Linked DNA regions of Oryza sativa Japonica Group. The protein of the gene in region 3 binds, or shares a complex with, the protein of the main gene of each other region. Links are inferred from orthologs where the notes say so. Each region holds a gene or a part of one and is shown on either strand. Other genes may lie near its edges. The genes, in order: carbon catabolite repressor protein 4 homolog 4, probable CCR4-associated factor 1 homolog 11 and carbon catabolite repressor protein 4 homolog 6.

Region 1 (4,303 bases), on a different chromosome or scaffold from region 3:
CAGATATACAAAATAAAACAGACAGATGGCTTAAAAAACATCTTCAAAACGAGAATAATAGAGAACTCTGGCCATTTTACTTGCCAATAAATATGTGTGTTCGCCATAATTAAAATATGATCACAAGGATCATTAAGCTTGAAAGCGGCAAGTAAACCAACACAGTCACGTTTCAATCTGAAACGTGGATCATTTGGATCTCCATGCTTGTTATTATCCACCTTCTTGCTTGCTTCTGAAAGAGCATAATACTGAATTAACCCAATTAACTTAGGTAGAGCATCATACTAGCCACAGATACAGCAGACATAAAATAAGTACGGAATGCAATTGGACAAATCTATGTCCTAGCTAGAATATGATTAATGATAAAGGTCCAAAGGTAGAATCATAATAGTGGAGGCCCAAAGAATTTGTACTTCATGAGTTTGGATGTGGAGTTTGAATATTTGTCTACTTTCTTTGTTTTCAAGATATGACAGAATAGTTTGTATGTTGTAACTTGTAAGTAGTTTGTTTAGCCTGGCTCACTACTTTACCTTTTGTCGCCTCCAATGAAAGAAGTCATTATGATTCACAGGATAATATCAAGTTGAGCAGCTGATCCATTACCTTCTGTTGGTGAAGAATTATTTGATGTATCACTATTTACATGATCAGTATGAACATATTTTTCCACTAAATCATTGTAATGTAGTACTTCCTTCTGGACCAGTTCCATGCTGTAAAAGTAAGAATAGCCCAAAAGGGGGATATTGAGAAGTTAATTTGCAAGTCAATCGAAACATTCATGCATACTATAATTTCCATTCTTGTCTTCTCATTGTTAATCATCACTTATTTGAAACAATATGGATACCTTTTTGGTTTATAGAATATGCCACATCCATCCCGTTTGTCCCCAGATCGTTGAATGTAAATACTTGAATATCCAGAATTCTCCATGTTTTTCTTGTAGAAGGTATCATACTCATCCAACTCCTGAGCAAACCACATATTAAAAATAAGCAGACAAAAATGTTCCAAAGAACGAAAAAAGCAGACAAAAATATTCCAAAGAAGAAAAAAAAGGGTCAAAAGTACACATTAATATAGGTCATGACTAAATATTGAAACAATACAATCATATGTAATATGTAACCCTCCCAATATTTATTTCTGAATGAGTAGAACACTAATTAATTTGTGTTGGGCATAATGGAGGAAGACTACATAATTTTTTTGAGAAACAGTAATAGCCAAAACTTTCTACTATCCACCATTGTGTTGTGTTTTGGCACTAGGAACCTTGTGTATCAGGTTCCAATCTGTCACGTTGAGAACTTGGGATTAATGCTCCCTTTATCCTAGGATCCAATCAATGTTGCAGTTTTTTCTTGGAGGGTATTTTTCAATCCACTAAATACAAACTTGGGGAATGTTACATAAACCATATATAGAACCAAATAAGGATATAATATGATTTAAAAACGTTCACATTCTATATTTATCAATGACAAGTACATGACCACATGAAAAAAATGAGTTGCTTAAAAAGTCATAAGTCTGTCCAACCTGTATGCACATGAGGTCAGCTTCGAAGCTCTTGAGTTCTGATAGAACAGCTTTAGACCGAGTTTTCCACCTGTTTCTCAAACATGAGGGGAAGCATACAGTCCACAAATGAATGATTGAAGAGCAGGGACTAGAACAGAAATGGAAAATTGTTTACAGTCACAAAACGAAACTAGCACACTGATGCACCAATCCTTTGATAGTTTTATACTTTGTTCTTGGGCTGGGTCTACTCATGGTGAGAACTGAGAATGGAACTCAAGTTTGTCCGAAAATATAAATGTACAAACATCATATCGTAAAGCTTACTGTTGACAAATAAATCTATTCGTACAACCTGAATGCTACTAAGGCTGCGCTCATTGCTGCTAGTTGGGAACCAATGTGCAATGCACACAAAACATAGTATTTATGTAATGTCTTTCTTTCATAGTAAATTATTTGGCATTCACCGCAGTGTGTTGCCACTGCTCTAATGCTTAGTAGAATCACTAAAGTGGTCGCAAGAAAATATTGAAACCCAAAAGAATTCTAGGAAGAAGCTTGTCAGTCAAGAGCTTACTTGAGACAGGCAGATGGAGAATGCGGGAAAAACGCACTCTTCACATAAACCTGCAACACAGATCAAATAGTTAGATGCAGCTAGTTTTCTTTCCTCTGTGAATACTGTAATCCACTCATCGTCACCAAAGAAAATACCGAACCATAAGCAGCTCAACAGAACAAAACAGCATATTGCCAGCCTACCTGGGCCAAGATGTTGTAGGAAACCAGCCGGAACTGGTACCCAGCTGCCCCTGTAACCCAAACACTAAAACAGTTTTAATACAAATTACCCTGGGCCTGCGCGATTTGCAAGTAATACTAGCAATCAACCACCAATCAAAATCGTATTACTCGCTTCTTAAGATTGACCAAGAAAAGAAAAAACACAACCTGCATCGGATTCGGATTGCGCCGTGGGGAGAGGGGCGAAACTGGGCTGCGCCTGGGTGCTCATCCGCCGCTTGCAAATTCTGACTCGTCGGTGTCACGATCCATTAGAACAGTAGAAAGGGGGGGAAGGGGTTTGGAATCGGGGATCAGCGTGTGCTTACGGGACGAAGGGGAGACGGGGGCCGCAGGGAGGAGGGGAGCTGGGGCGGGGACGGAGGCGGAAGAGAGGGAGGGAAGCTTGGAGCTTTAGCATCGGCGGATTCGTTGGGCTCTCCGGCGCCGGAACACGCGCATCTGGCCGCGAGGAGATGGTCGCGCCGCCGCCGCCGCCGCCGACGGCTGTACGGCTGTGGCTCCACCGCTCAAGCGTTTTGATTCAAACCTGATAACTGGGCCCGATCTGTCGGTGAGAAGCGCCGGTGTACAGTATATTTGAAGTAATACCCTTTTCTTTTCTTTTTTTTTCCTTTTCCTTTTCAGAGATGGCCACGGATGGGATAAGAAAAGGGATTTCAGCCAAATTATGTTTTCGTCGGCACTTTTAACTCTAGTCGGATTGGAATGTGCTTGCTACCACCATAAGTTATCGAGTCAGTCAGGACACATTATAAACAGGTAATGAATTATTCATGCTGCGTTTTCAAAAGGGTGATTTTTAAAAAACTTTTTATACATAAGTAATATTCCCTCCGTTACTAAATATTTGACATCGTTGACTTTTTCAAATATGTTGACCGTTTGTCTTATTAAAAAATTTAAGTAATTATTAATTCTTTTTCTATTATCTAATTCATTGTTAAATATACTTATATGTAGACATATTGTTTTACATATTTTACAGAAGTTTTTAATAAGACGAATAGTCAAACATGTGCTTAAAATTTAACTGTGTCAAATATTTAGAAATGGAGGGAGTAGTATTTAACTCATCCATACAAATAATTTCCCTTTTCCCTTTGACTATTATCTATTTATCACTCAGTTAAACTGTGATGTTAGTAATTTAGGACACGATTGTTTCGATTTACATTAAGCTTTGTCAATGATTTTGTTTTGTAGTATACAACGTATGAGATTTTGAGCCGAAAGTTTAATTTACAGTATAAGTATATCCAGACAAACACATAACTTTGTTATGTCAAAGGGTATCACTTTTTGTTTTGGATTTTGACATGGGCAATGGTGGATCCTAATGTTCTTTTTCTTAAACTCGAGAAACCTTAATAATGGATAACCAGTTCCACTGGCTGTGTTCGACCGTTTGGGTTTCCAACTCATCTCTCTCGTATTCCACAAACATATTTTTTAAATTGCTAAATAATTTTTTTTTACAAAAAGTTTCTTGTTTTAAAAAATAATATTAATCCATTTTTTTAAAAAAAGTAATTACTTAATTAATCATAAGAAAATGTGCCGCTTTGTTCTTAACCTCACCTCCCGAACACAGCCTAAGAGCAAGTACTCTAATGCTTAATATGTTGCCCCTAAAAATACTATATATGATTAGATATGAGGTGGAAAAAATAAGTGAAGAAAGAGAAGGTGAGTCACCCCTCATGCAAGGGGCAACCTCCCCACAATGACACAAACCCCAAGGAGATGAAAGAAAGAGGGGATTAGACAAACAAATAAAATAAAATTATTTGGGTTAGTATGCTGGAGGTAGTGTAGATGTGGTGTGTTGTTTATATCACCTCCTATCTTATAGGGATAAAATTAGATGTGACAACTACTCTTACTATAAAACTTGCAGTAAGACCCGTTCTAAACTCCTCTAAATTTCGACTTTCCTGTTTTCCATTAGCACGTTCCC
Region 2 (3,318 bases), on a different chromosome or scaffold from region 3:
TTTGTTTGACTGTTTCTCTCATTGACCGGTCGGCTAACTGAACGAAACTAGCATGCCACGCATGAACTAGCACCCTGAACTCACACTCATCGTCTGACCTTAAAACGAGTCAATCTCACCGTTTCATTCATCATAAGTTCAGGACTACTGTAGCCTTTTTTTTTTCCTTCTTCATGCATAGGTGTGTTTAGTTCACGCTAAAATTAAAAATTTAATTGAAATTGAAACGATGTGATGAAAAAATTAAAAAATTTTATATAGGAAAATTTTGATACGATGAAAAAGTTAAAAACTTGTTGAAAAATTTGGAACTAAACCCGGCCGACCATAGTACACTAGTATGCACTTTGACCGAATGACACGCGCTGCTCGTTTGACTCCCAACATGCGACGCGATTCGCTGCGCTGCACACGGTGCGCATGGCCTTTTTTGCCTTTTTGTTCATACGACGCGTTTTTCTCTATAGCCGTTTCATCATGACAAACAACAGGGGAAGCCGCCCAATTTTTTAACGGTGAAAGTTTAAACCACCACACGAGAAAATCAACCGAATTTAACCAATCAATTAAACCATCTTTTTTTCCCTCTTATTATTACTGTACATCTGCCGAAAGAAATCCTTTCTTGCAGACGACGAATCAACAAATTTTACAGCGGAGGAGAGGAGATCGTATCATCTCGCTGCCACCAGCGGCAGCGAGGGTGTTTTGTTGCTGGGCATGTCCATGTCGAGCTCCAGGCCGAAGAGCACGCCTTGGTAGGCCTCGACGCCATGCTTGAGGAAGTAGAGCTCCCGCATCCGCCGGAAGACGTCCCAGGTGAGCAAGCTGTCGGAGGCGGCCTGGTGGCACCGCCCCGCCGCGCGCTTCACCTGCAGCGCCGCCGCCACGCGCTCCAGCCCGCCGTACAGCTCGCCGCCGCAGTGCCGCATCATGTGCTTCACGTCGTACACCTCGTCGCCGAAGAAGACGCGCACCAGGTTCAGGAACTCGGCCATGGACCTCGGCAGCTTCCGCCCCATGAGGAGCTTGACCAGGTAGGCGAAGTCGTAGGCGGAGTGGAAGGTGACCCACTTGACGGCGCCGTGGGAGCAGACGAGGCCCGACGACATGAGCAGCGGCGCCAGCGCGCTCGCCCTGACGCCGTGCCTGCGGTGCGCGGCGAGGTCCACGCCGTGCTCCGCCAGCAGCTGGACGGACTCGGCGGCGTGGCGGTGGACGCGCTGGTCGAAGTCGGAGAGGTTGATCTCGAAGGCGAGCGCGGGCGCCGCGGTGGGGGACGCGGCGAGGGTGATGCCCACCTGGATGAGGTGGAGCGCGTCCACGTTGCGGCGGAGGAGGTCGTACCGGTCGCCGGCGGTGAGCAGGGCGGGGTGCTTGGTCGGGCGGTGGATCACGCCGGGAAACTCCGTGTCCATGGACACGTACGGGAAGTGATCGATCGCGTTGCGGATGATCCGGAATTCCTCCTCCACGTTGTGCGCCCACACCCGGCGTATCTCCACCGGCGGCGCAGGCTGCCTCTTCCTGCCAACGCCGGCGGCGGCGAACTCCGACGGCACGAACGCCATGCCAGGCGGCGGCGGCTGCTGCTTCTTCCGACCGGCGGCGAACAACAACTCCGGCGGCGGCTTCTTCCTGGCGGCGACGAACTCTGACGGCATGTCTTAACTCAAAGATTGGATGGATCTCGGCAACGAATTCGAAGCGCGATGAGCAATTGGAATTTGGAAAAATTCGGACCGAATTGGAGATGCGAGTGCGTTTGCCTGTTTGGACTGCGGCGAGTGAGAGCTTGCGTTTTATAGGAGTCCACCGGCGCATCCATTCGCGGAAGGCGGCAGGAGCGTGAGGGGAAAGCGGCGTGGGGAGCTTTGAGATTTGTGCGCATAGAGGAACGGACGGTGGCCGTGCGTCTGCGTTTATGGCGTGCGTTAACATACGGGGTTAATGATTGGGGTTAGGGGCGCGCGTGGATTGACCGTGTTGCAGACACAGAGGCATCTGCCCGGAATTGTGGGTTTCTTTTTTATTATTATTTATTTGGATTGAGTTCAAGGGAGGTGGACGCATTCCCGGTTTGTTTAATTCCGCAGCTGCTGCAGCGGATGTGCGATACCGTACGTACGCATTCGGAATTCTGTACTAATATTTTATTAGTAATTTTTTTCATTTATAATTATATAATCCCTATGTTTTATAATGTAAGACTTTCTAGCATTGTCTATATTGTGAAACGGATAAAGTAGGAGTAGTGCTAGTATACTCTAGTCGGCTGGTAGAGTATAAAGTATAGGGAGGACACATTTCTGGTGGTGCTAGTTGGTATTTGGGTGCAGTGCACCCCGGCCAAAACAGAGCACTAATAAGCAGAGATGCTCCAAGTTGAGAGGTAGTACGCTGAACGTGGACATGCACCAGGTTCGGTGCATACATGTTCCCACCCCCTCCGTTAGGTCGGCTTGTTGCGGTAATTGCCGACGTGGTGAAGTTGCAAAACAAAACCAATGGAGCTTGGCGAGGCCACTAGTACTACTCCAGTAGACTAGTCATCATCACTCATGAGGCTGAGGCTGACCGACCGAGGAGCAGCAACGACCCGGTCCCCGACTCCTCCCTCCCGTATGCGTGCGTTCGGTAGTCCACCGGTAGTCCGGTAGGCCGTACACTAGTGTGCAGGCACCGCACCGTCGCTCTCACTTTGGCGGTGGCCATCTAGTACACGTTTTTCTTCCCCCATCCCTGTACCTGTACGTGCAGCTGTGCTGTGCTTTGCTGGAAAACCAAAACCGCAACTGGGACGAGGGAGGGAAGGGAACCTCGCCGCTGTCTCACGCCAAGCGCTAGCCGCTGCTCCATCCGCAGGTTGCTGCTTTCGCGGTCGCGGTCGTCGCGGGCCACACGCTGCCCGGCCCGTGCGCCGTGCGTGTGAGGTGAGCCGACTCGTTTTTTTGTTTTTTCCTAGCCAGCGGCGCGGGGCGAGCTGCGGTGCGGCGGCGGCTGAAGAGAATCGAATGGGATTGGGGGGGGGGGGGGGGGGGGGGGCAGATGCCGCTGCAGGCCTCCGGAATTGACTTGACCGTCCATGCGAAACACTTGGAGGAGTATATTCCGTTCCTTGCGTGTGCTAGTGTTCAACGAAATAGCCAGCCGGTCGTCGGCGTTCGCGTTTGGTGAGTCTTCTTCCTCCTGGCCGGTCCTTCTACACTACTCCCACTTATGCATCCGCGTCTTCCGTGGTTGGTAGACAGTATCGGAAGGATTACCTTGCATTATTTCTGATTATGGCACTTTGAATCGTATGAATGAAAAAAACCG
Region 3 (2,393 bases):
ATCCTCAAAAGCACAAGAACAATTTCCAAGCTCATTTGAACATGAATGCGATTTTGAAAGCCTGTTTATCACTTCAGGTGTACATTGAACATCACAAGTGTCAGAAAAGGCACAATCTGTGTGTTGCAAAGGCTCTAGTGGTGATGTTAACTGAGTTGGCTCAGTATTGTTTTCTTCTTCTAGCCTCAGATTACTCATTTGATGAAGTGTATCAGCAAACTTCAGGGGATCACTGAAACAATTTGATTTTGATTCACTACGCATGCAATTATTTTGAGTAGACAAAGGTTCACTGTCTTGTTCCTTTTCATCGGGTCTGACCTTTGATATATCAAACAGTGTATCTGACTGGACATTGTTTCGCTCAAAATCACAAGTAGCTTTTCCAGAAATCACATGACCAGGAAAGTTTGCCAGGGTATTTGAACTGTTATTGCTACCACCAGCTAATTCTTCCCAAGAATCTTTAGATTCAGATGATTCATAAGATGGAAGAAGCTGACTTCTATCAACTATTTCACTCGAATCTGACTGAAGGGTCTCATCATTTACTGTCGTTGAAGCAGACGAAAAGTTTGTAACGTTAGTTTCTTCTACAGAGCTCTTTTTTATTACTCCATATCCTTCACTGGAGTTGTTAACCACTGAAGTTTCTTCACCATTAGTGGTGTTGGTATGTGCTTCAGCATCAGATGTATAGGCTTCCTTTGTAGGACCTTTCACACAGCCCATTAATTCTTGCTCGTGAGGATTTGTAGAGCTCTCTGGGTTTAAGAAAGAGTCTGAAGCAGTATCAGTCAAAGTTGGTTCTCTGCCAGAAAGACGAGAATTTTCCGTTACATTTCTTGCTTCAGGTTGAGGCTTATGATCATTTGGGTAACTTATGCTACCCTCCTTACTATTCGTCGTGTGAAAAGGCGGATAGAATCTGTTAAATACCAAAAAGCATCAAACAAAGGTCAGTTAGGTTAAAATATGCAGAAAAAATTGTCAAAAGAGGGTGTCTCTGATAAAGCAGAAGGTTCACCGAGCTGTGTTAGGACCAGTATATAGTCCCTGTGCAGTACTAGTTTGCTGCCCTGATATATTACTCTTCACAAGACCGGACAGATTCAACTGCATGATTATTATGTTGTGTGAGTTTCAGTTTCTCAAAAACAGCCATTTTCAAGTTAATACAGAACACTCTTTACCTTTTGCTCCAGCATAAAATTGTACAGAGGGCTCTGAATGAGGAAGAAATGGGTCAGACATTTTGACCTTGTTACATGTAAGCATGTAATAAAATGTCCAAGAAATACAGTGAACCAGATATGAATCTTTAATATAAAATGGTAAGGTACTGAATATTGCCTTGGGTGTAGAGTTGAAATCTCCACAAATTATTACTGGAGCATCATTCCATGTCTTTGATAGAGCATACACTCGATCAAGAAGCGTCCTTACCTGTAAGTATGACAAGAAAATTAGTATTCAAATAATACGTATGAAGGTGCATAATGTACTGACTATTGATGGTCAAGAAAGATGATAGAAATACTAGGTAATGCAGCTATACTTTGTTTCAGTGATGAAAGTATAAAACAAGATAATAGCAAAAGACCACAACCCACCTAGTCATCTACAACGAGAGGGTGGAAAACAATGCACGATCTCAAATGATGCCATGAAAGCATCAGAAAGCAACACGATGGAAGATAAGGTGTACATTGTTGCTCAGTACTTAAGGTCTAACAAGGTGTTATTTCTTTACCATGTTATACTAAAAACAAAAGTGCTTAGGCCAAGAGGCTAATTCTGGTGAAAAAAAAATCATACTATAAAAGTCTGAACTAATGTAGGAAATTAAGACTCACGAGTGACCACAACATAATACCTGACCAAGTTTGATGTCCCCTCTCTTTGGATTGTAAAGAACATGAGTATTGCATACAATAATTTGCTTAGCTTGTTGAGGATGGTTAGGGCTGTGAAACGAAAGAATGGTTATAAAAACATGGATAGATAATACCAATGTGGACATGTGGGTTATGAAATTTTCTCTTCAATAATAAAGGAACGTGGAATAGGAACTACACAAGCCAGAAACAACTAATAAAAAGGAGACAGCATAACACCATTGTCACAACTCACAACTGTGATGCATAGTTTAGAAATCTTGAAGTTTCAATTACCTAGACTCAGTTTGCACATTTCCTGGAATCACCGACTGAAAAATATAATGAGGAAACGATTAGCAGATATAGGCCATGCAAGATTGGCAGCATAAAGAAAGCTTCAATTCAAAGTGATCAGTAGTTTGCCCAACGATTTCAAGCCCACCTCTAAAACACAAATCTGTGCAACATTATCACGGAGATCAATCTTATTGAACTCGATATCCTCTTGATAGC

What was found.
Region 1: carbon catabolite repressor protein 4 homolog 6 (region 3) and carbon catabolite repressor protein 4 homolog 4 share a complex: the UniProt entries of both Arabidopsis thaliana proteins name them as parts of the CCR4-NOT complex. The link is inferred for Oryza sativa Japonica Group from reciprocal best matches to the Arabidopsis thaliana genes AT5G11350 and AT1G31500.
Region 2: carbon catabolite repressor protein 4 homolog 6 (region 3) and probable CCR4-associated factor 1 homolog 11 share a complex: the UniProt entries of both Arabidopsis thaliana proteins name them as parts of the CCR4-NOT complex. The link is inferred for Oryza sativa Japonica Group from reciprocal best matches to the Arabidopsis thaliana genes AT5G11350 and CAF1b.

The regions. Positions count from the first base shown.
Region 1 is NC_089039.1:18,948,500-18,952,802, forward strand, and holds the start of carbon catabolite repressor protein 4 homolog 4, read right to left. Parts: upstream 2,896-4,303; 5' UTR 2,744-2,895; coding exon 2,652-2,743; intron 2,571-2,651; coding exon 2,491-2,570; intron 2,352-2,490; coding exon 2,302-2,351; intron 2,167-2,301; coding exon 2,117-2,166; intron 1,625-2,116; coding exon 1,555-1,624; intron 982-1,554; coding exon 860-981; intron 723-859; coding exon 613-722; intron 236-612; coding exon 85-235; intron 1-84. UniProt on the Arabidopsis thaliana protein: Acts as a catalytic component of the CCR4-NOT core complex, which in the nucleus seems to be a general transcription factor, and in the cytoplasm the major mRNA deadenylase involved in mRNA turnover.
Region 2 is NC_089038.1:35,499,151-35,502,468, reverse strand, and holds probable CCR4-associated factor 1 homolog 11, read right to left. Parts: upstream 1,776-3,318; 5' UTR 1,665-1,775; coding exon 675-1,664; 3' UTR 554-674; downstream 1-553. UniProt on the Arabidopsis thaliana protein: Ubiquitous transcription factor required for a diverse set of processes. It is a component of the CCR4 complex involved in the control of gene expression.
Region 3 is NC_089035.1:24,732,664-24,735,056, forward strand, and holds part of carbon catabolite repressor protein 4 homolog 6, read right to left. Parts: coding exon 2,323-2,393; intron 2,210-2,322; coding exon 2,175-2,209; intron 1,968-2,174; coding exon 1,877-1,967; intron 1,447-1,876; coding exon 1,354-1,446; intron 1,227-1,353; coding exon 1,194-1,226; intron 1,117-1,193; coding exon 1,028-1,116; intron 929-1,027; coding exon 1-928. UniProt on the Arabidopsis thaliana protein: Acts as a catalytic component of the CCR4-NOT core complex, which in the nucleus seems to be a general transcription factor, and in the cytoplasm the major mRNA deadenylase involved in mRNA turnover.